Sus scrofa: one gene and its partners. The protein of the gene in region 3 interacts with the protein of the main gene of each other region in a pairwise test. Links are inferred from orthologs where the notes say so. Each region holds a gene or a part of one and is shown on either strand. Other genes may lie near its edges. The genes, in order: ZBTB8A, ODC1, KAT5, PIH1D3, ZC2HC1C, PLA2G4A and GAPDH.

Region 1 (4,111 bases), on a different chromosome or scaffold from region 3:
AGCGAGGCCAGGGATCGAACCTGCATCCTCATGGATACTAGTTGGGTTTGTTTCTGCTGAGCCACAATGGAAACTCCCCCCCTCCTAGTTTCCATAACACCGCACTATCCCACATCTCTTCCTTCTATCCCAGTCACTTCTTAGATTCTTGCAATTTTACTTTCCTCTAGGAAGCCACTAGATGATGAAGCTGGTGATGCTTGTTCTATGCTTTATTCTTTTCTTATTTTATATTCTCTTTCTCTATCTATATCCATGGTTTTAATTCCTAGCTACATTGATGACAACACTTTACCTCAAATAATTTTATCTATTATGTTCCAGGCCATATGTCCAAATGCCTTTTAACATTTTGTACTATCTAGGGTTCTTAGTGACACAGACTCATTTGCCTTGGCTGATTTAAACAGAAATGAATGTATTAAAAGTTTACAGAATTATGGGAAGAGCAAAGCATAGGGTTTGGTGCCTATGCTAACCAGGTAGAAACAACAGCAAGTCATACCATAGAACTGGCCTGGTAAGGATACCAACACTGCTCTCAGCAGAGACCTGGCAGCTGGCACCACAGATAACCCTAGTGCTGGACAGCGGATACTGCCACTAACAGCACTGCCTCTATGGCACCTGGAGACACTATCTTGCTGCAACAGTCACCACTGCCAGAAAAGATTCTTAGAGGTTCCTGCTTCTTGGTGGTATAGCTCCCTCATCAAAGTCCCCAGTAAGTGCCTCTGATTATTAAAGTGTAGCCCATGACCATTGCCTTAGCCACAAGGGATTCTGGGAAAGCAAGTCACTGGCATTTCCAGATTCTGCTGCAGAAGGCAGATTCTATCTCCCACCAATTATTCATAACATAAGAAGTTCGCCAAACATATAAATTGAGTTTCAGAAGCTAGGAGGGGGAAGTTGAGGGAAAAAACTTCCATTACTTTTTCCTTGCAACAAAGGATGTGCTCTCTTGAGGAACAAGTTTGTAGAACTTTTTTGCATGTTTTAATTAATTAAGGCTAAAATAAAACCCTTTGTGATAACAATGCCCAGGTCTTTGGGGGAGAATTCTCAATGGGGATGCTAGCAGAATAGTTTGGGTACATCCAAATCTCCTGATACCTAGCAGGTTTTCAAACATGTTTTCAATTACCTGTTCAGAATGTGAGAAGGTGCAACTAAATAGCAAAATAACTCAAGTAATACAGAAGTGACATTAAGAGATAGTTGTGAATATTTTGTATCCTTCTAGTAGAGACTATGATCCTCAAATCACATAGCTAACTATTGATGAAACCACAGTAATAAATTCTGTTCAGTATGACTGAGTGTGACAAAAGAGAGAAATCCAACAAAAACTAAATGTTTTAAAATTTTGAGTCTTTTTTTCGGTTTTGCTATATCACAGTATTATTCAATGCCTGACCCCAGCAGAAGGAACTGGAAAACGTAGTTTGTAGAATTAATGTTTGCCTGCTAACTATGAATATTCAGTGATTTATGATGTTAGCAGATATAGAACCTGACGTGTGTACTCTAAACATTAGGGATGTATCATCAATGTTAGTATTTGACAACACAAAACCTCCTATTCTTACTAGTTTTATATTTTCTCTGAACTTGACCAAGGATTATTTTTTCTTATCTCAGCTTCTTGGGTTATCCTCTTCAAAGAAAATTCTTGTGACTTGCAGAGGTTTAGAAAAGATTACCCTTGACTAAAACGAGTTCTTCAAAAAGGGAAAAATTCTGTGCAGATCTCTTCCATTTGACGTTGCTAAACTTAAGTACAATAATGTCACATGCACTTATACAGTAATTGTGGGCACGCCTAAGTCCCTCCCTCTTTCCTAAACCAAATTCCCCAGATCCTAGAAATCCAGCCCTTCTGCCCTCCCGGAGGCGCCTTTCCCAACGTAAAGTACAATTTAAAATTTAAGCTCCTTACTAAATAATGATTCTGTAGTCAAGTGCTAGGGGATCTGGGCACTCCATTGCCTCCGGAGGGTGCAGCAGGGTGTAGGCAAGGGCAGGGGGAGTGGGCGAAGCTGCTGGTTGGTGCCTGAAATCTGTGCGTTGCCCCTTTAATTGTGTCCCCAGCCCTCGGGCGTTTCTGTCCAACGCCCACGTCAGCAAATACCTTTTGTTTCTCTCACGTTGGGGCTACTTGTTTTAGGGCGCAAAGGAACGGCTTCAAAAGGGGGTATTTCCCCTGCCGGGAACCGGGAATCTTCCCCCAGCCCGCGCGCGCGCCCCGCCGGTGCGCCGCGGCCCGCGGTAAGTGGCTGCGCGCGACGCGGGCGAAGGGCGGGCGGGGCGTCGGGGCTGCCCGGGACGGGCCCACGAGCCTAGCTGCGGGCGAAGGCGCCGCGGGCTCTGGTCCCCGGGCGGCAGCGGCGGCGGCGACAGCGGGATGCGGCCCCGGCGCGGCGCCCCCAGACGTTCCCGGTCCAGAGAGCGGCGGGAGGCGCAGAGGCGAGCGGGCGCCATTTGCAGCCCCGGGCACAGCGGCGGTGGCGCGCCGGCTCCGAGGGGCTGGAGACGGTCACAAAGGAGGCGCGGGCAGCCGGCGCCCAGGACCCGGCCTCCGGGCGGCGGCCAGCGGGGGAGAGGCGGGCGGCGGCGGGGCGCACCGGTCCCCGGACTGCGCGGCCGCCTCTCCGGCGCCCATCCAACCGCCCGGCCCGGCCCGCCTGCGCGCCCGGGAGGGGTTGCGGGACAATGGCAGCGCCGTCGCCGCCCGCGCCCGCCCAGCGCCGCGCCCGCCTGGCCGCCCGGCCTGGCCCGGCCGCGGCGCGGGGAAAGGCGGGAAGGCGCGCGGAGCCTCCTGGCGGCGGCGGCGGGAAGGCGGCGCGGGGACCGTGCCGGGCGTGTCTGGAGCCGTCGGGCGGCGCGGACTCCCGGAGGGTCGGCAGCCAGCCGGGCTCGGGCTGCGCGGCGGGTGATGGGTGGCCCGCCGGGTGGGGTGGCCAAGGTCCGGGGCTTCTCTCCTGCAGCTCCGGGCGCTTCCTCGGGTAGGTGGCTGGCTGGGCAGTAGTCCGAGTTTCTGCGTACATCCTCCATCCTTTGGTTTTATATGGTGATGTGACAGATCCGGGCTGAGAAGCCAAGGCAGACTTACTATACCTAACAAATATTGAGCTATAATTATTATTTTATGCCGAACCCACACGTACGCACCTTCTACCTATGCAGACGGCCTCTCTTGTAAGTTAATTAGTGGTTTGGCCCCTTCTCCATCGCATGCGCTTATTTATTGTTGATTGTGCCAGTAGCCAGCCAGTCTCCACATCTTTAAAAGGCGTGGTTTTTTTGTTTTTTTTTTTCTCCCCTTTTTTTCCTTTTAAATTGAGATATGGTAGACAAGTAACATTGTGTTAGTTTTAGTCCAATGAGTGTTTGGAAGCCGCAGATTCTCACCTATTGGGCTTTTAAACTCCACACATCAGTTTTACTTCTATTCTTGATAAATGTTTTTATTTGCAGAACTTTAGTAAATGGAGTGCTTTCGCCTATATGAATTATATCACATAAAACAACTACCCAGTCAGGCTGAGGATTATTTCACTTTCTAGATGAGGAAACACATTAAGCATTTAAGCTTTAAGCCAGGAGGTGAGAGGTGGCAGCCTTCCAATGCCCTTGCCTCCTGCTCTAGCTCTTCATTTCCTCCTAAAGTCACCTCCAGAGCTTTCCAGTAAGCAACTCATATTGCTTCCCTGCTCTGAAAACGTTAACTGATTTGTATCAGAAGCAAATCTAAAATCCTCAGCAGAAGAACCCCAGCTCAATCTTCCTTTCTGTAACCTTCCCCAAGCCCTGGGTATGGCTGGGTTTGTGAGGCCCCTGGAGCAAGAGCCCTTTGCTATAACCAGAGATCAGATGTCTTTATTCCCAGGAGCCCCCTGACCACACAAGATGTTAATGGGAAGTGAGGATCCAACCTGCCGGTCTTGGCTAAACGGACATGGCTCTAAAATGTTAGTAGGAGGCATCGTCTTGACCTTTTCCACATCATGTAAATTTCCGACCCGGTAAAGAAGGCACTCTGCTAGACCTTTTCTCAGGGCCTTGAAATTACCAGCTTTGCTGTTGATAGTGATTTGAGCCCAGGAAA
Region 2 (3,953 bases), on a different chromosome or scaffold from region 3:
GTTACTAAAGCTGTTCATGGCTTCTTGATATCTTTCTGAAACACAACAAACTGCACAGGGCAGACAAACTTACTTGGAAGTCCTAGCACGACTTAGTAATTCTTAGCAAGATAAACCATGAACACTTACACGGAAAACAAAAGATGGAATTTAAATTATGCCAGCTCTTCACAAAGGTAATTCTCCAGGAATCCCTGTCCCGCTGAAGACTCGGGTGCCCTTGGTGCAGCAGTGGGAATGTCCTGCTGAGCAGAATCTGAACACAGCAAATTGGAATATAGTCAGGTACGTGTACACACACACACACACACTCAAGCACCCTCCAGAGAGAGCTCACTTGCTGAGGTTGGGAATCCCACCATTCCTATTGGTGTCCTCCCATGATTTCATAAACCTCTACGGAATGAGACACCACAGGATCAGCACTAGACTTCTGGACACTCAAGTTCCATATATAGTAGTCTCCCTCAAAAAAGGTATTTCAAATATTCCTGCTAAAAATGCAGAATGCACGTTTCAGAAACGTTTCTGTACTGAAGTTCACTGGTAGGGAAACTTCTATGATGCTTAGTTTACCTCACTTCAGTGTTATTCTTCTTTTAGAAGCTTAAAATAGCATTACAGGGATTCTCGAAAGTTGCTGTATAAACATCTTGCACATTCCCAAGTCCTACATAGGCATCATCACTGTCATTTGCTGACGGCTCTTGCGGTCTCCTGAGAATTGTGCTCATTGTCATGCCAGGCATGTATTTTTTTAAATTGCAATCTTCAAATCAACATTACTGTAATATAGTTACCACATCTGACCAGAAATCAGTATTCTTAAACCAGCGCTGCCTACCCCATCAGCCATTCTGGCAATCTCAACTGCCCTTCCAGGTGCTCTAACATTTGCTTGGCTATTAATGATTACCACCTGGGAATGATTTTTGACAAACTTTACAGAAAAATAAAAGCAAGGTAATGAATTAGGAATAAGCAAAAATAAAGCGCGTTTAACAGTCAGGGCTGCTGTCCTCGGCCTTCATGAAATTTCACAGCAGTTATCTTAAAATTATTGATGGTACCCCATTTCTGCCAGGGAGGACTCCTTTGACACTGTGCAACCCGCTTCAGTGCCTGCAGCCTATGGGCAGAGGCCAGGCAATGGTTCGGGGCCACAGTTTGCTCTGGCATGGGACACTATGAGAGGCCCAGGGGTACGGGCCTGCCATAAATCCAAACCCATGCTTGGCAGAACGTGTATTCTTAATCTAATGTGACTTTCGGGCACTGTCAAACCGCCTATGCTGCCGGTAAACTCCTGTGTCTCTCAGAACAGCACGTAAGTAGGCTCCAAGGTGGCAGACTGGGTTATTTAGGGTTAACTATTTTTAAGGCAATATTGAGGCTTAAACTTAGAAGCTTTTGTTTCTTTCAAATACAGCACTATTACACATTGGGCTTTCCTGTATCTTTCAAAGCTTTATTTCAGTTACTTTCAATACAGAGGAACTTCACCCAAGAACACCCTTTGGTGTTCCTATCTGTTACTTAACAGTGACTCAGTGAACACAAGACAGCGCTTTTCTACTATGAAATTCTTTACTGCCAATGGGCTAAAAGGAAGCCGAGCACTAATTCGATCAGCCACTGAAGTTATCCAAATTATGGCCAATTTTAGGTCTGAATAAAGTCAACACCTCCGTCTTCCCCAGACGTTTCTAAGAGGTTCTGCGCCCCACACTTGCCCCCATCATTTCAGATTTTCCATAAGCCTTTTTTGAAAACCCTGGGACCGGCTCCTATGTCTGAGCCTGCTCGCCTGAACTGCGATCTCCACAATCGAGGACTTTCTTAAATCACCAAGTCATTCAAAGATTCCTTAAGCAATTCTACGCCATGGCAGGATCAGTATTATCAGTTAGATTATCTCAGCTCCAGCGACTCGAGTGGGTTTTTACATTGCGACATTTGCTCAGGATACGGAGCAAAACCAAAAGTTAAAAAAAGAAAAAAAGAGAATTCAGGGCAACCTGGCAGAACGGGACGTCTCTTCCTTATAAAAGTGAGCACGAGCGATGAGTGAAACGGACCTGCGCCGGCTCGCCTCCTACCTCTCCTGCACCTGTTACCGGATTACCACGTGGGTTTAAAAAAAAAAAAAATAGCGGTTGAAGGAACGACCGAGCTTTCTCAACAGCTTCCGGCTCAGAAATCCTGACTTACGTGGTTGGGAGGCGAACCCGGGGCCGCCGGTTCCAGCCCCCGGCAGCCCTAAGCCGGGACGGCGGCCGCCGAGCGCGCAGGGGGCCGGGGGTCGGCGCCCCGCTTCACCCGGGACGCCAGGGCCGGGGGCGCAGCGGCCCACTAAGGTCGGGGCCCGGCGGCCGGCTGGCGACCACGTTGTCCCCGCAGCTCCAGGCGCAGGGTCTGCCCGGCCTCCGGCCCGGCCCGGGCGCCGGGACACGTGGCCGTCCCTCCCCACCCCCTCCCCGCCGCCGCCGGGTGCGCCCCTCTCACCTTAGAGCGCACGGGCGCCGCGGGCCGACCCCATGGAGACGCGACGCCGCCGCCGAGCGCGCAGGACCGCCGGCCGCCCCGCCGCTGTCCCCGCCGCCCCCGTCAGCCGCCCGCCCGGCCGCCCGCCGCCTCGCTCCCTCCCGCGGAGGACCGCCGGCCCGAGGTGGCGCCGGAGCGCTGGCAGAGGGGCAGCGGCGGCGGAGGCTGAGGGGACTGACAAAGCCCGACGCGCCGCCGCTCCGCTACTTATAGCGCCGCGCGTGTCGTCATGGAGACGCACCAGCTCAAACCAGCCGCGATCGGTTCCGTCCGGGCGTCCTCCCAGGGAGGGGGCGGGGCGCAGGGGCGGGGGGCGCCGGCCGGCCGACGTCAGCGCCGCCGAGCGCCGCCCGCCCCGCCCACCCCTCGGGGCCCTGCGGCAGGCCGGCGCACGCGCACACGCTCCGGGCCGGGCTCCACCGGCGCGCCCTCCGGCGCGGGCGCCCCGCCCTCCGCCCGCGGCCGGGAGGTGCCGCCTCCGAACTGCAGGCTCGGCTCCTGACCGCCGCGGAGTTTCAGGCTCTGCGCCGCGCAGCTCTCTTCTTCCGCCGGGCATTAAACGCCTCTTGCCCTTGGGCGGGGAAAGGAGATCGCGGGCGCGAGCGGGCCACGTGGACCCCACCTGGCGGACTCTGGCCCCTTCTGCCCGGCGTCTCCATTCCTACGGGAGGGACCTGCAGGTGGTTCCGGCGCAATTCCACCCGACAAAGAAACGACAAAGAAACAGGCAGAACCGCAGAGGGCAGAAAGGTCACTGGGCACGTTAGTGGCACCGCTGCGGGCAGCTCCCCAGTCCTGGCGCCTGTGAATGGAGTCCATCCAGGTGTCCATCTAGGTAGCAAACAGCGATGAACAGGCGAAGGCACATGTTCGGCTTATTAAGCCGAAGACTCCTCTAAAGAATTAGGAGAAGGGGTACGAAGTAACAGGTCTGCCAGCCAGCAGGTGATCACAGCCCCGTACTGTATTGGATGGCGCTGATCAATGACTTGGGTCCGCTGGGCTTGGCACCACTTGGAGAGTTATGTAAGTCCCAACATACCCGCAGTGTCTACACCAGGGATGCACACGGCAAAAGCTGTATAAGGAATTGAGAGTCCCCAAGAGTGTAGCCAAGGCTCTGGTGGAGCTCTGGCCTCTCCCTGGGGCAGGCCACCCCAGTACCAGCCCGAGAGAGGGACTTGGGGCACTTCTTTTTTCCCTTGCATTTTTGCCATTCCTTCCCTTGTTGACAAAATCCAACAACAGACAGTTATGCCCCAACCTAGGGTGTGACGGACCTGAGGGCTGCGGGTGGGGACTAAGAACTAGTCCCAGCCACACAGTCGATGCAGGGGGCCCTGGAGGAGCTTGCTGCTGGAGCCCTGGCCCCAATTTATTGTGTGATCTTGGGTAAATTGCCTCTCTTC
Region 3 (2,695 bases):
CCCCATCATGGCATCTTTCTACCAATAAATTTCTCAAAGAGACCAGGACTGGGATCAAGCCAAGCCTCCAAATGACTATACAGCTTGGGCTTCCCTCCCATCTCCCAGGTCAGAGGCTGGTGATCCCAGGGTTCAGACAATGGTGAGCTGAGTGGAATGAGGCTAAGAGACGACTCGTACGATGAGGGGCAGAGGCCAGATCCCCGTGAGTCAGTGCTCACAGCTGCCTGCTAAGCTCACAGCCCTTTTACAGGACACCTGCTGCCCCGCGAGGCTCAAGACAAGTGGGGAAATGCACCACAGGAACTTGGGTGACCGCGCAGGACCGGAGAGTTGAGCAAGAAGAGCGGCTCACTCGGCTTCTGCCCTGGCCCTGGGCAGGAGCACATGAGTAAGATCTGGGGAAAGTGCTTAGAACCTTGGCCGAAGAACCGGGAGGGGCTAAGAACCTGGTCCAGGCAAGCAGGGCAGTCACCCTGGGACGGAGAGAACCTTGGGAGAGTCCCATCTTTTATTTCTGGCCAGTTCCCCTGGTGACTGGGCTGCCCAGCCGGGGCTGAGGCCCAGCACTGGACATCTGTCTAAGACACGGACGGGGCCTGGGCCTGCCGGATCCCACCCCCACCCAGCGCCCCAGCAGCACGGGTACTCACTGAACTCGATCAGCAGCTTGCCGTAGCCCCGGCGCTGGTAGGGAGGCAGGGTCAGGATGCAGGCCACGTTGTAGTCTTCCGTGGATTCCTTTTCCTGGAAAGGGGGCAGGGTGTGAAGGGAGGGACCCAGCTGAGGGCAGGACGGAGGCACAGCCCTGGGGAGCACTCACCTTGGAGAAGTAACCCACAATGTGGAAGCCCTTGCAGTCATACTCCGTCATGACGTAGAAGAGGAAGGGGTCCGTGTCATAGTACAGCGTCTTGTGGTCGAGGAAACACTTGGCCAGAAGACACAGGTTCTGAGAGTAACTCTGCAAAGGGGAAGGTCTGTCACCACCTTGGTCCTCCGCCTTGAGCATGGCTGTCCCCCAGGCTGACAGAGGATGAGCCTTCCTGGACCCCGACCCAGTCCACGGGTCAGGCCGTCCCTGTGCCCAGGCTTCCTCAGTGTCGAGGAGTCTGCGTACCGGCTCCGTGATGACGTCCAAGCTCCGCCTCCCTGGTGAGCTGGGTGCACTCCCCCTGCTCCCCACGCCTCGGTGTGACTCTGGCTTTGGAGGCGACCAGCGCCCTCTGCCACAGTTAACGGCGGTCAGCACACTTGTGCGTCGCAGTAAAGACCGACCAGGGCTTACAAGAGGAACTCTTGCTTGTGTGACAGTCTTAGGACTCTGGCTGTCAAAAAACACCACACTGCTCTCTCACCTACAGTTACACCTCCTGAGAACTGAACAGCTCTTCTACAAGAGGAGCAAGAAATTCCGGAATTTAACAAAATAACAGCCTTAGATGTTCCCTTGTGCAGCAGGTTAAGGAAGTGGAGTTGCCCCAGCTGTGATGCAAGTCGCCGCTGTAGCTGGGGTTCAATCCCTGGACTAGGAACTTTCACATGCCAACAACAACAAAAACAAAACCAGCCTTAAAGGCCACCCCAGCAAAATAATTATTCTCGTAACTTTACTTCTCACAACCTTCCTGCATTTCGGATGTGGTTTTTTGTCTTTTTAGGGCTACACCCATGGCATAATGGAAGTTCCCAGGCTAGGATTTCAATCAGAGTGCCAGCTGTTGGCCTATGCCACAGCCACAGCCACACCAGATCCAAGCCACTTACCCCACAGCTCATAGCAACGGGGCCAGGGATTGAACCCACATCCTCATGGATACTAGTTAGGCTGTTACTCCTAGCCACCACTCCTCAAATACAGCTTTTTAAGCACTGGCTGGGCAGGGCCACCTGAATACTCAAACCCACACTTCATACACTTAACTGTGTTTAAAGCAGCATCTTCCTCCCAAGCTCCCGTAGCACCCAAGTGAGCGCTCCCCTCTGCCAGTCAGGGTGACTGCCTCTCCCTCCCCACTCGTGAGGCCCCGGAACGGAGGCATTTCACTCCAGAAGGTCCCGCCAGGTTACTCCCTTCATCCTCCCCACAGCCAGACGAAGGCAGGTTAGACGCCCCAAACCTGCGGTGTCCCCCACTTCCTCCCCACCCTCACCTCATCCTGTCTGCCCTTCAGCTGGAAGGAAGGACCCTCACCTTCCACACTGTCTCTGCATAGGTGGACCCCATTTATTGCATTTCAAAGATAATGCACCTTTTTTTTTTTTTTTTTTTTTACGAGTTAGAGTTTATGCTAACCCTGGATTGAGCAAGTCTATCAGCGCTATTTTTCCACCAGCATTTGCTCATTTCATGTCTCTCTATCACATTTCAGTAATTCTCGGAATGTTCCAAACTCTCGTTGTCCGTTATAGGGATGTGTGAACAGTGACTCTCACTGTCATCACTGTCATTATTTTCTTAGACACTCCTGTATCCCTTTGTGTGTATGTGTGTGTGTGTCTTTTTGCCTTTTCTAGGGCTGCTTCCTGTGGCATATGGAAGTTCTCAGGCTAGGGGTCTAATCAGAGCCGTAGCCGCCGGCCTACACCAGAGCCACAGCAAGGCGGGATCCGAGCCGCGTCTGCGACCTATAACACAGCTCACAGCAACGCCGGATCCTTAACCCACTGTGCAAGGGCAGGGACCGAACCCACA
Region 4 (4,111 bases), on a different chromosome or scaffold from region 3:
ATAAAGGCCCTTGAGGATATAATCCCAATTTTCTGCCCTTCTTTCCTATTATTCTCCTACATGTAAACAGCAGTCCGTTAAAAACTGAACTGCTAATTAAACAGACCCTATAATCTCCTGCCTTTTTACTTTGGAATATATTCTTCCTTTTGCTTAGACTATCCAGGTAACATAGCGTAGTGATTAAAAAAAAAAAAGATTCTAGGGAGTTCCCATTGCGGCTCAGCAGATTAAGAACCCGACTGGTATCCTTGAGGATGTTGGTTCCATCCCTGGCCTCACTCAGTGGGTTAAGGATCCAGCGTTGCTGCAAGCTGTAACAAGCTGCAGTGTAGGTCACAGATGTGGTTCTGATCTGTGTTGCTGTGGCTGTGACATAGGCCTGGAGCTGCAGCTCTTCTTCCACCCCTAGCCTAGGAACTTCTATATGTGGCAGGTGCAGCCCTAAAAAGAAAAAAAGAAAGAAAGAAAGATAAGATTCTGGAGCCACACTGCTGTTTTGCATCTGACATTGCAATTTAAATAGGGCAAGAATAAATTTAAAGCAAATTTAAGTGAGAATTTCATTAAAAAATATATTGCTAAATCTTTTATTTGGGATTTGGTTACTTAGAAAATAAGTTCTCTAGCACCTCCCTTTCTTTTTCTCTCACTCTCTTTTGCTAGGCCCATTCCAAAGGCAGCATTTTCTAGACAGTGCCTTTGATTTTCCCACACCGTCCTGAGCCCCTAGGGCCTTCATAGGTAGAGGTGTGATTGGGGGAATTTCTCTTGATACTAGCCACAATGCCCTAAAAAGGCAGCCGCTTCAGAACCAGTCCTTTGCCAAAACATTGGAGACTTTTAGGGACTAAACAAGCTCAACCAGGATGGCTCCAGACCCATGGCACTGAAGCAATAGTATCAATAAACTGAGATTAAGTCAGACTCTGGTTGAGAGGACAGGGGTCATGCTTTCTGTTTATTTTTGCCTCCATCCACAGTGTCAACAGAATGCTCTTAGACTTGAACTAATTGGAGAGAAGTCTAGCTTAAATGAGTGAAAACTCTGAATTATACACTATTCAAAAAGAAATGATATTTTATTTATTAATTTATTTATTTTGCAAGCAAGCGAAGTCTTTATTATAGGAAAGCAAGCAGCTCCCAGGACAGCTGGGAGGGGGAGAAGAGCCCCCCCCCATTGCCTTATAGGGTTTTTTTAATCCCTTAAAGATGGGGGGGTATAGATGATATTTTATTGATTCAAGTTTATATAGCAAATAAAATCAGGGTAGTAAAGAATCACCAAAGAGTTTCATTTGGGGAACTTGTTTAATAGGAAAACACATGTCCCTATGTAGACTACTGACTGTTTATAGCTGAATGATTTCAAAGTACCAAAAATCCATTTACTGTCCTAAATAAAATTGGCATTTCTTCTGCAATTTTATTTACATAATGTCTTATTTAACAATTCCTGTATTAAAATTCTTTTGGAAACACAAAAGTAAACATCATCTCTGCCTATTTCTGAGTTAAATGATAATATACTGGTTAATTGGGTTTTTTTTTTTTTTTTTTACATTTTTGACAACTCTGCCCATCAATGATTCCCTGCCTATTAAACCTAATTCATTTTGACTTTGTTTTTACAAAACCCCAAATAATTCCTTTTTTAGGGTCTCTAAATTTCACTGCCAGCAAATCTACTAAGTCATAAATAACCATGGGGACTTAGAGTTTCTGTTACAAATTTAAAGTATATTTAATGGAAGATGATTTTTGAAAGTACCTGGAATATTTCATAAACCTAAAGGTCAAGAAATGAGCCTCTTTTGATTTAATATTTCCTCAATCCATTATTCTTTATTTTAGCCAAACTTCATACACTTGTAATTTTTGTTTGCTTGTTTGTCTCATTCCCATAATCCACCTCTATCTACAAAGGAATTGAAAAAGCACATTTTCTCCAGTGCTTTGAATTTTCCTCCCCAAGTCCATAGGCTTGTTTTTATTTCTTTACAAAATAGCCTCTGTTCTGAATCCTTTCCAGAAGCTCTTAGGGGAAAGGACCCTCACCTCAGTGCTCAAACTCTGTTCTCTCCCCTCACCCCGCCCCCCACTTTTTTTTTTGGTCACAGTTCCTTACCTTTTGACAGGTACAGTCCAACGGCATATAATACTTACTCTCCCAATCAGCTACTTGCTGAGTAGCGGGTTTGGTAGATACAAGTAGCCCTTGCACACCACGCTCCAGCCCACTAAGTGCAGCCTGACTTTTTCACTCCTCAACGGACCTGACCAACGTCCGTTGGAACTCTCAGGTCGCAACGTTCACGTTTCTCGAACACAAGACATTGTCCACGTACCACAAGCCAGTTTTTTTTCAGTCTGAACAGCGTTATACTCCCTAAAAATATGTATCCCAACCAAGGCATGCTGGTCGGTGTACATGTAAAACCAACTCGGAGCCCCCAGATACACTTACAAGGAAACAGTTTTCATTCTCAAATTAGCGTTACGAGCAGTGTCTGTGTCTAAAGAAGCCTTAGCATGTTCATTTTGGCCTTCTGACATTCCATCCGCATCCCTTCCTTGTCTGGTAAAACGGCCCCATCTTTCACTCATATCCTGAATAGCCTGAGTTTTATTAAAATTGAATCTTGCTTTTAGCGTCTAGGGCAGGGGGATTTAGGGAACGGCTCTGTTCTGTCTGAAACTTGCGGCTTTTTGTGGGTATTTCTCAGAGCCGTTAAGTATCTAGAGTTCTCCCTAGTTTCTCTAGTAGCCGCGGCATCTGAGGGGCCCTTCTTTTCACCCTCCTAAGATTCGGGTTTCCTCACCTGGGTCAGTTTTTGGGTCGCTGTGTAGGCTTGGAAAATAAACGGAGAGCTCTGCGTCCCCCTGTTGCCTGGGTAACAACTTTGTTTCTGAACTCCCCCACCCCCACCTCCGCGTTCCCGCTTGACTTTCCTGACCAATCGTAGAAGAGTCTCCTTTGAAATTGCAGGAGAATTAACGAATCAGAGAGCGTGCCAGTCGGGGTCCAAGCCGCCCTTACCAGTTAACTAGGTCGGCCCCCTTTAAGCCTCTGTCTCAGTTAGCGTCGCTCCTGCGGGGACGCGTCCACTGTGGAGGCCAGTTCGTTCTCGCCGGAGAAGGCCCTGGTCTGCCTCTCTGGCCTCTCCGCAGTCTCGGCGGCTACCTATCGATTTACCTTGGGGCGCCGCCGCCAAGGTAAGTTTGCGGGATTTTCGATTGTCCGGGCATCAGCCGGCTCCCTCATCGTTACTTTTTTTTCCTGCACGTGAATTCCAGATCGGACAACTCCTGTCGCCGATCCGGAGCAGCGGGGGTGGAAGGGTAGGCTTGGTGGCCCTGGGGGTTGAGGAGATTTTGCTGCGGCACCACACGCCCTCCCCACGCCCCCTTTCCGCGCGGTGACAGAGACACGTGTAGTGGGTTCGGTCTCGGCTTAGCGTTTGTGCGTGTGAATTGTGTGTGCGTGTGTATGGTGGAATCGCGCTTTTTCCCCCTCTGCTGTGGGCAAGACTTCTGGGTTCGGAGCCCCAGAGGGAGAATCCCTTCGGCTTGCCACGAAGCTCCTGCGAGGTAGCGTCCGGTGGTACGCGTCGCTCCCACTCTCGGGAATGTCGCCGGACCCGGTGCCTGGCTTTTCCCGCCTAGGAGTGGAGCGATGCAAGCGCGCCGCAGGTTTGCCACTGCTTGACAATCGGAGTGCTTGCACTTCTAGAGGTACAGTTGTGACCCTAGTTTCTCAGGAATTCCGTGGTTTGGTTTTAAACAAAAGGGAAAAAGAAGAGATGGCTTAACGAGTATTTGGAGTATTTGGAACTGATTAGCTGTGTTCAATAGTGGGTCCCTTCAAATATTATTTGTGCAGTAAGCAAGGAGAGATAGGATGGTTTTAGTGGATGGTTAATTTTGGCCCCAGGGCTTGGAATTCGGTTATGAATTAACTAAATTGCGTTCCTTCTTTCTGCTTTATGGTGAAGGGGCTAGTAGAGCTTGAGGAATTTGTCCATTCTACTTGTTATTACCGTAGTCAACAAAAAATTAAGGTTGAATATTTAAGTTATTGGCTAAAATTGTGGCTTTGGGGGGAAAT
Region 5 (4,024 bases), on a different chromosome or scaffold from region 3:
CCATGTGCTGCGTATGCAGCCCTAAAAAGACAAAACAAAACAAAACAAAAGAGAGAGAGAGACTTCATGGAAAGACAAAAGATTCTTCTTCCTCAGAAACAGGAGCGAAAGAAGTTAAAATGGAGGGAGGCACCCTGGGAAATTCTGCCAGACTGGAGGGGAGCTTAGGGAGTTGATGACAGACAAGCCCCATGCTGAGATAATTAGGGCCTTGAGAAGAGTGGGAAATGTCTGGAAATGCATACATAGAGAAGGCAGTGGAGAGTCAATTAGAAAAGAAAACAAGGCATAAAAGTACTGCCCTTGGAGTGCCACCAAGGAATTTCTTCGTAACATGTAAAAACTGTAATATGACATATTAAAGTATTAACACCGACCACTGCTGTCCGTATTGTTCTCCATGGGCATGAATCTTTTAAGCAGTTACAGGGAAAAAAGTAAGCTGCTTGTTCCAAGTAGCTTACACAAATGAATTGAAGCATAAAGACAAACAAACCTTCTTCTGATGTTAACAAGTTACAGAGCATCTTTAGTGTTGAAACCAGGTTATATTGAGTATTTTGGATCTGGTAGTTAACTTTATTATCATTACACTTGGTTGAGTCACTCTTTGGCCGCAAGAAGAGAGGATCAGAGTTACCACGTGAGAGTAAAACATTATATCCAAATAATTAGATTGGCTACGAAAACGTCCCCGGAAAGATACTGCAAAAGACACCGCGTAGCAAAACCTAGCCGATTTGCTAAAATTTGACGCAAGCTCCAAACTATTTGCAAGGAAAGCCATGGACAGTATACAGCCGTACCTGGGGCCCGTACAAAGCAGCCGAGCGTGCTAAGAAAAGCTATCAGTATGCCCACGGCGGCTAAGAGGGCGGACACCGGAATCCTGCGGCAGGTCTTGAGGACACATCTAAGGCGCTCCATCTTTTGCCAGAGAAGGACACACCCCAGGACCTGAAAGCATCGCTCTGAGAAAAAAAAAAAAATACAAGCCCTTTGATGGAGCCCCAGAAAAGCCTCTCCCACCCTCTTCTCCCGTTCCCTAAGGGCAGGGCTGGACGGAGCTGCAGAGTTGGTGGGACACCGGGTCAAATGACACTCGTGTTGACCGCGCCCGCGACCGGGCGACTCCCGGGTGTGCGGACTGCGGCTGCGCACGCTTCTCCGGTGGAATTCGGGGCGTGGCGGGACTGGGTGCGCATGCGCTTCGGTCTCCAGGCAACAGGAATAACAGAGGCCCGCCAACAGCGCCTGCACGGCGGCGGGCGGTTGGGAGGGTGGTGTGTGGTCTGGAAAACTAAATTCTGGGGTTTCCCCTGAGCAGGAGCCGTCTGCTAGAACAGGTACGCGGAAGGGCGGGAAGATATGGGGTCAGCACCTCGACCTCCCAAGGGCCCGAGAGACTGAAGAGCGAGCACTTGTCCCTAAAGCAGAGTTTCCAGTGGGGCTACCCGGCTGACCCTCCAGGACAGAACAGGACTTATGCGTTCCGGATATGAACCCCGCCAGATCAGGTGTTCTCCGCCTCTCAGGTTACCGACCTTCCGCCATCTGCGCTGCGAGGACACCTTGCGAGAGGGTTTGCCAGCCAGGCACTTGCTGCAGGCCTTGAGCCGGCTCTCTGCACTTTGGGGTCCAGCACGGTTCCAGCAGGCGGGAAGTCCTGAGAGCAGTTTGTGCCAGTTGCTTACCAACAGGCTGAAGTTTTCTACCTGTAAAATGGTGGAGCGGGACTTGGAGTCCTAAGGTCCCTAAGTTCCAGCCATCTAACTCTTAAGTGAACCCCTCAGTTTACTGGTGAAGAAACTGGAGCCGGCGAGGGGATGCTGCTTGTCCTGACTGAAAACTGACTTTCAGCCCAATAGCTCATTCCGCCTGCTACGGAGTATACTGTGTAAGCAGGAGCATCACTATGTATGATATATATAAAGGAAAGCTAGGTGGCAGGAACACCTGTATCACATTCCCTTTTTCTATCCTTAGGACCTAATAAGCACCCATAGGACATAATAAGCGCTTATCAAATGCTAGACCTAGCAGCACTGTCCCTAAAAAGTCTAAGGGAAACTGTGGGTAAGACAAGTGTAGAAATAGTTTACTTTCACAGCTGAGATGAACCTCAGACAAACTCCTCACATATGTCTGGTTTAAATCTCCCCTAGGCTTCTGTCCAAGCCCTGAATGGCTGGCCTCCAGTTGGCACTGACTCTGCCTGTGGGCATTATGTTCCCATATAATAAAAGGGAAGCTCCAGAGCTCCATTCAGTTAAGCAAGATCCCTATGAAAAAGGTGACTCTTCCCAGCGGTCTTCTATGGGGCACCTGAGGAATAATTTCCAGCAGGAGCTTTTGAGCAACAAAGAGCTGACACTAGATAAGCTCTACACTCACCCCAAATGGAACACCAGCATGAAAGCCTGGAGCTGCTCCTATCCCCACTGTGCTGAAATAAGCCAGCAAGATTCGAGAAAAGGTTTGTTTTACTCATCAGGCCCTCAATCCCAGTATCCCAAAGCAAATATCCAGGAATTCATCCCCTTTACAAAGAAGCGAGTTGGGGTGGACCGAGCATACCCACTGAAACCTGTGTTTCACCGGAAGTCCCGTAGTACAGGTGAGGCTGGCACTGATGGGGACCAGAATGTCTCTCTAAGATCCCATCAGCCAAGAAAGCTCTCATACAGCAGTTTTGGTTCAAGGAACTGGGTGAATTCATCTGTGGTTGGTTCCGTTGCTGCCACTCAGGAGGAGAGGGTTGTGGCAAACCCCAGCAGGATGGAATGGATGCAGATCCAAAGACTAGAAGCTGCAGGGGAGAGTTTAGAGGAGGAAATCCGAAGAAAAGAGACTCTCCTGAGGGAAAAGCTGAAGAAGACAGAGGAGGAACTCAGAAGGATCCAGAAGAAGAAAGAACAGGCTGAAGAAAATGAAAAAAGAGAGCTACAGAGGAGAATGGCACTACCCAGGAGGAGAGTTAAAGGCAAGAGTAACACCTCACACAAACCTATCTTCTCCCCAGAATTCAAGTCTGCGGAGGTCTTCAGTAGAGATGTAGGAGACGATGAAACTTGGGGACGGTCTCAAGAAAATTCTAGTCCATTCCAGTTCTCTGATCATGGAATTCAGAAGCTCAAAAGGGAAGGACTGATGGCAAGCAATAACCAAATCCGAGACCGAGTCTCAGGGCCGCTGAAGGAGAAGTTTTCTCAGGCTTCAGAAATGCCACCCAGTGCTTTGCAGAGATCTACCTGCCATTCTAGCTTGTCTAGGGCCCCAGACTCCTTGGGTTCCAGCTGTTCCACTGAAGAGCCAGAACTGGGTGCGTGCAGCCACTGTGGACGGAAATTTCTCTTGCTCAGACTTGAGAGACACTCCAATGTCTGCAGCAGGATGCGGGGTTCCAAGAGGAAAGTCTTTGACTCCTCCAGGGCCCGGGCTAAGGGCACAGAACTAGAGCAGTACTTGAACTGGAAGGGATCGGCCTCAGTCAAGGTAACAAGGGCCTTTAATGATTTGCCTTTGAATGGGGGTGTGAGCCTGTTATATCCTCATCTGTTTTCTTTAGAAAAATGTCATGTGTCATGCGTCATGTGGGGAGAAAGCGAGAATTAACATTTATTGATTACTACTGTGTGCCAGTCACTGTGATATTGTCACCACAACCCTGGGAAGATTTCAGTATCTCTTTATCAGTTTCAAAATTTAGTCTCAGGTTAACTTGTCTGAGTTCACAAATAGCTTTTAATGGCAGAGTCAGCATGTAAATCTGGGTCAGAATGACTCCAAAATGTAGAATTAAAAAATATGTCCTTTTGATTATAAAAGTAGTAAACATTTTAGAAAATTTAAGACATGAAAAATATAAAGAAAAAAATTATGCAGTGTTTCAGCACTCCCAGAGAATTCCTCACACTTTGCAATATACCCTGCCACCTCCCAAGATTAGGACCTGTTACCACTCCTAGAACTATACTTTTTCAATTAACTTTGATGAAACTTCTTAGTAAATATATGAGGTACC
Region 6 (4,089 bases), on a different chromosome or scaffold from region 3:
AGTTCTTCAAATGATCGATAGGGCTTCAGCAGAAAGCGCTTGCGGTATTCATTAAAAGACTGGTATCTCATCTCTCTGCTCTGGTCGATTGAGGCCTTTGATACTTTTTGTACTGCAGCTGGAAGATTCCTACCACCAGCAACCTGTGGAAATGAAATGAAATTGTAGAACATGAGTTTTAGGTATATTTAAGATTTCTATTTTAAAAGCATCCCTTGGGTACAAAGAAGGTAAGACTCAGCTCCCAGCTGAGACCTAAACTGTTCAAGAATATTTCTGTCATCTAGATTATAGTGATAACATTTACTATAACCGAAATTATATATTAGACTTCTCATTTTAAGGGAAGAATTCTACTAGCAAATAATTACTGTTTTAATACGTTTACGAAAAATCATTTCTACAGCAGAAATTCCAGTTACTGACTAAGCCCTTTGTTTCGTTTTATAATAATAATGCTTACCCTGCCAGCAATTTGCCTGCTAAATGATTCAACAAATTGGGTGATGCCATGTTCCAGTAAGATAGAGTTATTGTAGAGAAACTGTTGATAGTTGTACTCGTGGCCATCAATCTGGAAGGCGTCAGGCAGAAGGGGATGCCAGTGGTAGAGCGTGTTAAACTCAGCAGCAATACGGTTTTGGTATTGGAATTGCTGGTTGAAAAGCAGCTCTGGGTCAAACTTCAGTTTGAAGTGGTAGCCACTCAGGTGTTGTACATAGTCTTCGATCACAATCTTAATCGTTTCTCCTATGGGCACAACATTAACAAATTTAGAACACAAATTCTTTCTACTCACAAACTTTCAAGCAACCCAAATGCAATTTTGTTAATTTGCCATATTCTATTGATTTCTGTGTCTTCCTTTTTTACCATCAAAACAAAAGGTCGGTGATATTCCTAATCAAGCCCAGGGGTTGAATTACTATGAAGCATGTGATTTTACATGCACCACATACCCCCAGTATTTCTGGAAACTGCAAAGAAACAGTTTCGTTTTCCCTGGAGAAGAGCGTTATTGAGAAGAGTTGTTCTTGCGCACCTATCAGTATCAGCCTGCTCGTCTGGAACAGCCGTTCATCGTCCCATTCCGGGTGCTCCTGTTTAAGCACATCGCACACTCTATTATGTTCCCGCAGCCAGATTGTGGCGTACATCATCAGACCAGGCACCAGACCAAAGACCTCATGCCCCACGGCAAAGCGGAGGTGTTCAGGAGTGTGAGGCGGGTAGATCATCTCGACTTGAGTGTCTTTGGCTGTCGGAGGATACATCTCACCATCAATTATCTAAAAACAACGGCAAAAAATGAAAAAGAGGTAAGAAACAAATTCCAATCGTTAATGATGCTGAATATAGTTAAGTGGTAAGTCATCACTTTTTTCATATTTATTTATATATGTGTGTGTATACCTTTTTTCAGATTCTTTTCCATTCTAGGTTATTATAAGATATTGAATATAGTTCCCTGTGCTATATACCAGATCCTTGTTTACCTCTTTTATATATATTAGTGTGTATCTCTTAAACCCAAATTACCAATTTAAACCTCCCCCGATATCTAATTCTTAATAGTTTAGTGGAACAAACCTGATACTTCATTTTTCCATCCTTGAAAAGGCGCAGTTTATGCTGTCTCTCCAAAGATTCACCATAAACATGACTTAAGTCCACCTAGAAGATTATGAAAAATTTTAAATTTGTTGCTGTTAAAGCTGTTCTTATGTAAAATGCCTGTGAGGTATTTATAAATAATTTGATGATTTAATTTGCTTTAAAAATTTTCAATAACATTTTTTTCACAGCCACAAAATAATGAATTAACTTGTTTACCCACTGAAGCTACAAACCTATATGTCTCTTGTGTTTTAAGATATCAGTGTTTCATGTGGAGATTAGATCATATGCTTTGCTGTAATTATGTAGTATTTCTTTTTAAAAGCATAGAAAATATATTATTGATATAAAATTCTTATGATACATTGAAGCTATGTCACTGAAATCCAAAGGATAGTAATACTAAAGAAAAAAACCTAACCTAATAATATTTAAGGCAGCATAATCAGGGTGCAAATGTTTTTGAAGACAGCTTCTGTAGTGCCAATATTTTAAACTAAAAATATACGGGCCAAACTACAAATAGTTTTTATATTTGTACATATGTGTGTAAATATGTATACATGTGTGCATATATATTTTCACTAAACCAGTGAATTAAAATGGAAACTCCATTAAGATTTTTATAGATAGAACATTTCAAAAAGAAGGTGAATTATCTGGTATGGCAAATATATAAGTATATATATAAAATATATAAGTATATCTATAAGTATATATTGGCAAATATAAATAAATAATAAATAAATAATGGCCTTTAATGTTCACACTTCATTATGATTGACTAAAATTCTGATTTAACTCTGTCTTACCCCATGGCCCTGTCCTTTGGTGAAAGCTGGTCCTCGCTTCTGATCTGTCTTGAAAAACTGATGGGTGAAGTGCTGGGCAAAGAATGCAAACATCATGTTTGTGCCCTGGGGATCAGGGATGAACTTTCTTCTTAGAAGTAATTTTTCCACAACTTCCTTTGAATCGGGAAGCTCTTTCCTCCCTGAAAAATGAGAAGGCCAAGATAGGAATCCATCTCTATATTCAAAGAAGCAGAGAGTGGCTGTCAATCTGCCAGGATCTTCTTTACTTAAGAAGAATACGGTTGTGAATAGGATCATAATATCAATGGAAGTTCTAAGATACAGGGGAACAACTTCTTATTGAATACTTTAATCTCTTTTGTTTAACTAGCATTAATTCAGTTTGGATGAAAGAATTTGAAAACATCATGACATTATACCAAAATGCCCATTCACTTTCATGGAGTAGTTTACAGAGATTCACAAAGAACTCTCCAAAGATATCCATAAGAAAGGAAAAATAGATGTTTTTCTTAATAAATAAATGACAGTTTACAGTCAAATTTTCTAGGTTGCATCCAATCCCAGTTACACTCAATACATCTCTACCTGCTTCCTCTCACTCACCTTTCACACCCATGGGTGTTGGGCAGTCATCAGGCACAGGAGGAAGAGCTCTGGTATAATAGGAGAGGTTAGAAAAGGCTTCCCAGCTTTTATAGCCATAGTGCATATTGTAAGTTGGTGGGCTATCAATCAGATGTGATCTCGCTGAAATTTTCAAGGAAAAAAAAAGAGGTATTATTTGTTCCTGTGCACAAGACAAATATGTTTATTTTTATTGTAAACTGTGCAAAGTGGCACTAGAGAGTGACTTTAATTCCAACAAAGATACTGTATTTTAAAATAATTACACTTTAGGAGTTCCCATCATGGCTCAGCGGAAATGAATCTGACTAGTATCCATGAGGACGCAGGTTGGATCCCTGGCCTCGCTCGGTGGGTTAAGGATCCAGCATTGCCCTGAGCTGTGGTGTAGGTCGCAGACGTAGCTTGCTTGGATCTGGTGTTGCTGTGGCTGTGGCATAGGCCAGCAGGTACAGCTCCAATTCGATCCCTAGCCTGGGAACCTCCATGTGCTGCAGGCGCAGCCCTAGAAAAAGACAAAAAATAATAATAAAATAAAATAATTACATTTTAAAGTCTAACTGCCAAAATGTATCTTTGATAAAGTGTATATACTTTACCAAAAACGTTATGGTCTAGCCATCTTGATTTTTCAAATAACCATCCACTTATTGCTCAAGAGGCCTATGAGAGGAATGTCTGGGCTTGGCCCTCACTTTATTTACAAAAATTAAGAAAAAAATTTTTTTAGCCATGCCTCTGGCATGGGAAACTTCTTGGGCCAGGGATCCTGCCAAGCCACAGCAGTGACAATGCTGTATCCTTAACTACTAGGCCACTAGGGAACTCCAGGACTCACTTTAGAAATAAAGTTATCTTCTTGTTTACCCTCATACAAATTATTCCTTTATTTCATTTTATTTTATTTTTGATTTTTAAGGCCACACCCGCAGCATGTGGAAGTTCCCAGGCGAGAGGTCGATAGAAGCTACAGCTGCTGGCCTACACCACAGCCAGAGCAATGCACGACCTGAGCCACATTTGTGACCTA
Region 7 (4,250 bases), on a different chromosome or scaffold from region 3:
GTGAGCCTGCAGCAGAGGAGCAGTCAGACACCCGGGCTTCCCCTTTCCTGGTCCAAGTCAGCCTCCCCCAGTCTCCCCGCTACACCAACCCCGCGGTTAGGTCCCCTCCTCTTTCGGTTCCCTGCCGCTCACCCCGGCCTTCTCCATGGTCGTGAAGACACCAGTGGACTCCACAACATACGTAGCACCAGCATCACCCCATTTGATGTTGGCGGGATCTCGCCTAGAAGGGAAGACAGGACAAAGTTCAGGGGCGCGGGGGACCACAGACCCAAGGTGGTCACCCCGTCCCAGCACCACCTCCTCCAAGGCAAAGCTCTTCCGGTTCCGTCTTCCATACTTACTCCTGGAAGATGGTGATGGCCTTTCCATTGATGACAAGCTTCCCGTTCTCCGCCTTGACTGTGCCGTGGAACTTGCCGTGGGTGGAATCATACTGGAACATGTAGACCTGGGGGGGACGAGGGAGGGCATCAAGGGGCTGCGCCCTGGCAGGCTCTGTCCCCGCCCCCGCCACGGGGGCCACTCACCATGTAGTGGAGGTCAATGAAGGGGTCATTGATGGCGACAATGTCCACTTTGCCAGAGTTAAAAGCAGCCCTGGTGACCAGGCGCCCGATGCGGCCAAATCTGAGGGGGACAAGAGGCGAGGAGGGAGGAGTGAGCTCTCCTGGAGATGTAAGCAGTCCCAGGCCCACGCGCCCGCTGTCAGCGCGGGCACTTTCCTACCAGGAGATCTCATTTCCTCCTCCTCGCACAACCCTGCCAGACCAGCCTGGCTTCCCAGCACAGCCACAAAGTGAAAAGCTCCCATCCTGCCCAAGAGGTGATGAAGCTCCGAGACAGGCCCACACCCCCTGGTCATCTGAAATCTGTTAAGGGGTGACAGGGTGGTGCACTGCTGCTGCCACCTACAGTCTGGGCACATGGCCGGCACATGGCATTCCTCAGGCCCACTGTCGGTAAATGCTTGTTCCTATCTGGCCAGCTTCAGGCCACACCCTCTAGGGAGCAAAATCTTGCACACTTGGCATCACCCAGCTCAAAGGGCAAGAGCAAAGGTCAGAAGTTAACTGGCCAGGGAAACCCCCCCCCTTCCCCAAGTCCCTCCTACAAAAGGGAAAGCCGTTTCTCAAACCCAGAATCCCGGGCTTCTGATTTGTTAGGAACCTGTCTTTGTTAGCTCTTTTCCCAAAATCAGGAGTGGGAGCAATAGACGTGTGGGGAGCGGGGGGGAAGGAGAGGGAGAAGCCCAGGCCCCCAGCTGCAGAAAGGTCAGGCAGCTATATTTAACCCCAGCTTAGGGTGGAGTGGGGATCTGGTTTCTGGAAGAGGGGATGGGGAGAAGGGCAGGATTCCCGAGGCTCACGGACATCTAATCCTCCTGGTGACCTTTACAGCTTGGCCTTTAGGGTGGGGTCAACCCTAGGCATGGATGGAAGGAAGCAGCTTCAAGGAGCACTGATGCAGAGACAGGGGCTGCGGCTCCGCCGGCTCCGGGAGCCATTTTGTGGAAAATTTCTAAGTACCCATGACTCAGCTCCCCCGGCATGGCACCAAGCCAACGCTACCACACCTCTCCGGAGAAAGAGAAGGGAAACAACCCGGAAACAACCCAAGACCACCCCCATAAAGCCCCGTTTTTGATTCATCAGAGAACCATCCAGAAAAAGCATCCCCTCATCCCCGGGGGGGGGAATCTGGCTGGGGCTTGAAGGGATGCTCTAGGGTTAGTTTGCTAAGAGCTGAGGTCCAGCTGACTAAGAAGGGGAAAGCGTGGCCGGACCTGGGTTACCGGATAAAGGAGACTCCACCCCACGAGGCAGGGGTAGAAGGCTTAGTCATGGGCAAGTAAGGAGAAAGATTGAAGGACTCAGGAAGATTTCCTAACGGCGGTTCATTCATTTCCTTCCTAGTTGCAACATGGCGGCTAGGTTACCGCAGATGCCCCCTCCCAGCTGGTTCTGCACAGCAGCTGTGCCTCCTGCATCCCGGGGCTGCCCGGCTGGGGGCACTGGTTGCGGCTGGGGGGATGGGCTCCTCCCCTTCACGTGACCCCGCAGGGCGCGAAAGGAAAGAAAGAGCCCCAGCTGGGGGATTAGGGGATGGGGCCAAAGCAAGAATTGGAGACTCCAGGGCTGTGTATCTGCGGCAGGTGAAGAGGAAGGCTCCGCAGAGGCGGAGTTACAGAACGCGCAACAGCCAGGGATGGGGGACACGAGGCCTTGCGAGGGCCTCCTCCAGGTCCGAGCGCTGACCTTGAGTTCTCCTTGGGGGTGGGGTACGACCACCCCATCCAAGTCCCCCACATGCTTGCACAGACCCGGTAGGGCGAGACCTGCGGACGCAATTTGGTGGGGGCTGCAGTACTTACTGCCCCACCCTGCCCCACCCCCTAACTCACCCGTTCACTCCGACCTTCACCATCGTGTCTCAGGGACGCGGCTGCCGGCAGAGGAAAGAGAACATTAGATCGCGGGGCAAAGCGGCTGGAGCCCGACGGTGCCCTCCCCGCCCCTCCCCCAGGCCTCCATCCTCGCTCTGCTCTTCTGCACGTCCTTCCTCCCCCTCAACCCGCAATGCAGGGGCCCGGCCCGGCGCAGCCACAACTCCGGCTCCAGCCGGGGCCCCGCACCCACACTCCCAGACCGCGCACGGCCCCCGGTCCCTTTCGGACCAGTCCTCGAACCCTTGTGGCTCCACTCCGCCAGGCTTTACCTGGCAATGCACGGAACACACGGCTGTCTGTCGAACGGGGAGGAGCAGAGAGCGCAGGGGAAGGCTGCAGCCGGAATTTATAGGGCAGGGGGCGGGGCGGGGGCGGGGTGACGTGGGCTCGCCTCGCCCAGTCCTAGCTCCAGCAGCGGAGGCCTGAGCTACGTGCGCCCGTAAAGTCGCGAGTAGCCGACCCCCACTTCTTCTTTTTTTTTCCTTTGGACCCGCCTGGTTCTGCCAATGTGCACGCGCCACACAAGTGGGCTGAGGACGGAGAGGGGGAGGGGACCGGTGATGCTGCCTGGCCCGGTTGGGGTTGTACTGCAGGGGGCAGTGGACTAGGAGGAGGGGGCCCTGGCGAAAACTGAGGACACCCAAGGAGCCAGGGACGTTAAAGTTGCTGCAGGGATGTAACGGGAGGATATGGGGAGCCAGTGGGATGGGAAATTGGAGCGGAACCCGGGGTTGGGGGCGCGGCTCGCAGCTCGCGGCTGCAGTCTCCCCTACCCCCCCCCCTTCAAAAGCTGAGAAGCGGGAAGATTGAGGAACTTCTCGAGGCTCTTCGGTAGTGACCCAGGAACTACAGAGGAAAAGGCCCGGGAGGGGCCTCCAGCAAGGCCCTCTCCAGCCCCCTTCCCCTTTCCCCCCTCCCCTTCTCTTGGCTCCTGGCCTCCCCGGGCTGGGGACCGCGGCTGGCCCTGGCCAGTGGGAGGCCTGGAGAGGAAGGAGGCTCGGAAGGAGGCCTGAGAGGGAAGTTTCTGCACTGAAGGTCACGATGCCCTGCAGGACAGGCAGCCTGGACATCTGAGAATCGAGCAGACAAACCAGGACCTGTGTGCACCAGCTGCTCTCCCCCAGGCCCTGGCTGGCTGGGGCCTCAGCGAGGGGACAGGATCGCTTTGGGGGGCTGGCCAGGTAGAGGCTCAGAGGTCTCCCACAAAGTTGCTCCTGGGAAATTTGAGGGCTGAGCGGCCCGGGCTGGGAGACAATGTCCCTTTCACCCCATCCAGCCCTGGGCAGAGCAGGACGTGAGAGCGGAAGTCCCTCCCCATCCTGGGACGTGCAGGCCAGCCCTGCAGTCAGGGCCTCCCTTTCACTGGCTGCGCCCAGGGGATGTTGGGGGCAGGGTGAGGTGTCCATAAGAGGGAAAAGATTGGGAGGTCTTGGACACAGGGTGGGGACAAGGGCCCCTAGCCCCTTCCCAGACGTGATGTGGAGGAGGAAATCCATTCTTCTCCAAGACCAGTCCCTCAGAAGCTGGGGCTGGGCCAGGTTTGTGAGCAGAGGATGAAAGATGGGTTGGTTCTGAGGACTTGAAGTGTTGAAGGTTCAGGGAAGGTGGGGGGAGGGTGGAATGGACGTTGCCCATTAGCAGGTGCTGGTGGAAGGAATTGGGGCCTCTTTGCTGGCCCAGCGTAACCTGAGACCAGCCCCCTTTTCCAGCTGAAAAGCCTGTGGCTAAGTTTAGCCCGCAGGATGATAACCTTTGCTTAAAAGGCAGAGAGCACGCTGCCCCGCACCCCGACTCAAGCCTG

Evidence for each region.
Region 1: the proteins of KAT5 (region 3) and ZBTB8A interact in binary tests that used the Homo sapiens proteins (3 or more experiments, as listed by UniProt). The link is inferred for Sus scrofa from reciprocal best matches to the Homo sapiens genes KAT5 and ZBTB8A.
Region 2: the proteins of KAT5 (region 3) and ODC1 interact in binary tests that used the Homo sapiens proteins (3 or more experiments, as listed by UniProt). The two-hybrid records come from large-scale screens. The link is inferred for Sus scrofa from reciprocal best matches to the Homo sapiens genes KAT5 and ODC1.
Region 4: the proteins of KAT5 (region 3) and PIH1D3 interact in binary tests that used the Homo sapiens proteins (3 or more experiments, as listed by UniProt). The two-hybrid records come from large-scale screens. The link is inferred for Sus scrofa from reciprocal best matches to the Homo sapiens genes KAT5 and DNAAF6.
Region 5: the proteins of KAT5 (region 3) and ZC2HC1C interact in binary tests that used the Homo sapiens proteins (3 or more experiments, as listed by UniProt). The link is inferred for Sus scrofa from reciprocal best matches to the Homo sapiens genes KAT5 and ZC2HC1C.
Region 6: the proteins of KAT5 (region 3) and PLA2G4A interact in a two-hybrid assay, tested with the Homo sapiens proteins (2 studies listed by BioGRID). The link is inferred for Sus scrofa from reciprocal best matches to the Homo sapiens genes KAT5 and PLA2G4A.
Region 7: the proteins of KAT5 (region 3) and GAPDH interact in binary tests that used the Homo sapiens proteins (3 or more experiments, as listed by UniProt). The link is inferred for Sus scrofa from reciprocal best matches to the Homo sapiens genes KAT5 and GAPDH.

The regions. Positions count from the first base shown.
Region 1 is NC_010448.4:88,920,935-88,925,045, forward strand, and holds the start of ZBTB8A (zinc finger and BTB domain-containing protein 8A), read left to right. Parts: upstream 1-1,311; 5' UTR 1,312-2,271; intron 2,272-4,111. UniProt on the Homo sapiens protein: May be involved in transcriptional regulation.
Region 2 is NC_010445.4:126,085,860-126,089,812, reverse strand, and holds the start of ODC1 (ornithine decarboxylase), read right to left. Parts: upstream 2,801-3,953; 5' UTR 2,506-2,800; intron 257-2,505; 5' UTR 130-256; intron 51-129; 5' UTR 19-50; coding exon 1-18. UniProt on the Homo sapiens protein: Catalyzes the first and rate-limiting step of polyamine biosynthesis that converts ornithine into putrescine, which is the precursor for the polyamines, spermidine and spermine.
Region 3 is NC_010444.4:6,566,525-6,569,219, forward strand, and holds part of KAT5 (histone acetyltransferase KAT5), read right to left. Parts: intron 965-2,695; coding exon 824-964; intron 748-823; coding exon 654-747; intron 1-653. UniProt on the Homo sapiens protein: Catalytic subunit of the NuA4 histone acetyltransferase complex, a multiprotein complex involved in transcriptional activation of select genes principally by acetylation of nucleosomal histones H2A and H4.
Region 4 is NC_010461.5:87,657,148-87,661,258, reverse strand, and holds the start of PIH1D3 (protein PIH1D3), read right to left. Parts: upstream 2,801-4,111; 5' UTR 2,159-2,800; coding exon 2,132-2,158; intron 1-2,131. UniProt on the Homo sapiens protein: Plays a role in cytoplasmic pre-assembly of axonemal dynein.
Region 5 is NC_010449.5:98,264,028-98,268,051, forward strand, and holds the start of ZC2HC1C (zinc finger C2HC domain-containing protein 1C), read left to right. Parts: upstream 1-1,224; 5' UTR 1,225-2,184; coding exon 2,185-3,495; intron 3,496-4,024. Other genes in the region: ACYP1 (acylphosphatase-1), read right to left, coding at 807-927.
Region 6 is NC_010451.4:127,852,400-127,856,488, forward strand, and holds the start of PLA2G4A (cytosolic phospholipase A2), read left to right. Parts: upstream 1-1,289; 5' UTR 1,290-1,319; intron 1,320-1,590; coding exon of another isoform or gene 1,591-1,674; intron 1,675-2,429; coding exon of another isoform or gene 2,430-2,611; intron 2,612-3,038; coding exon of another isoform or gene 3,039-3,182; intron 3,183-4,089. UniProt on the Homo sapiens protein: Has primarily calcium-dependent phospholipase and lysophospholipase activities, with a major role in membrane lipid remodeling and biosynthesis of lipid mediators of the inflammatory response.
Region 7 is NC_010447.5:64,131,221-64,135,470, forward strand, and holds the start of GAPDH (glyceraldehyde-3-phosphate dehydrogenase), read right to left. Parts: upstream 2,801-4,250; 5' UTR 2,719-2,800; intron 2,446-2,718; 5' UTR 2,428-2,445; coding exon 2,405-2,427; exon of another isoform or gene 2,312-2,404; coding exon of another isoform or gene 2,259-2,311; exon of another isoform or gene 631-2,258; coding exon 531-630; intron 452-530; coding exon 345-451; intron 224-344; coding exon 133-223; exon of another isoform or gene 7-132; coding exon 1-6. UniProt on the Homo sapiens protein: Has both glyceraldehyde-3-phosphate dehydrogenase and nitrosylase activities, thereby playing a role in glycolysis and nuclear functions, respectively.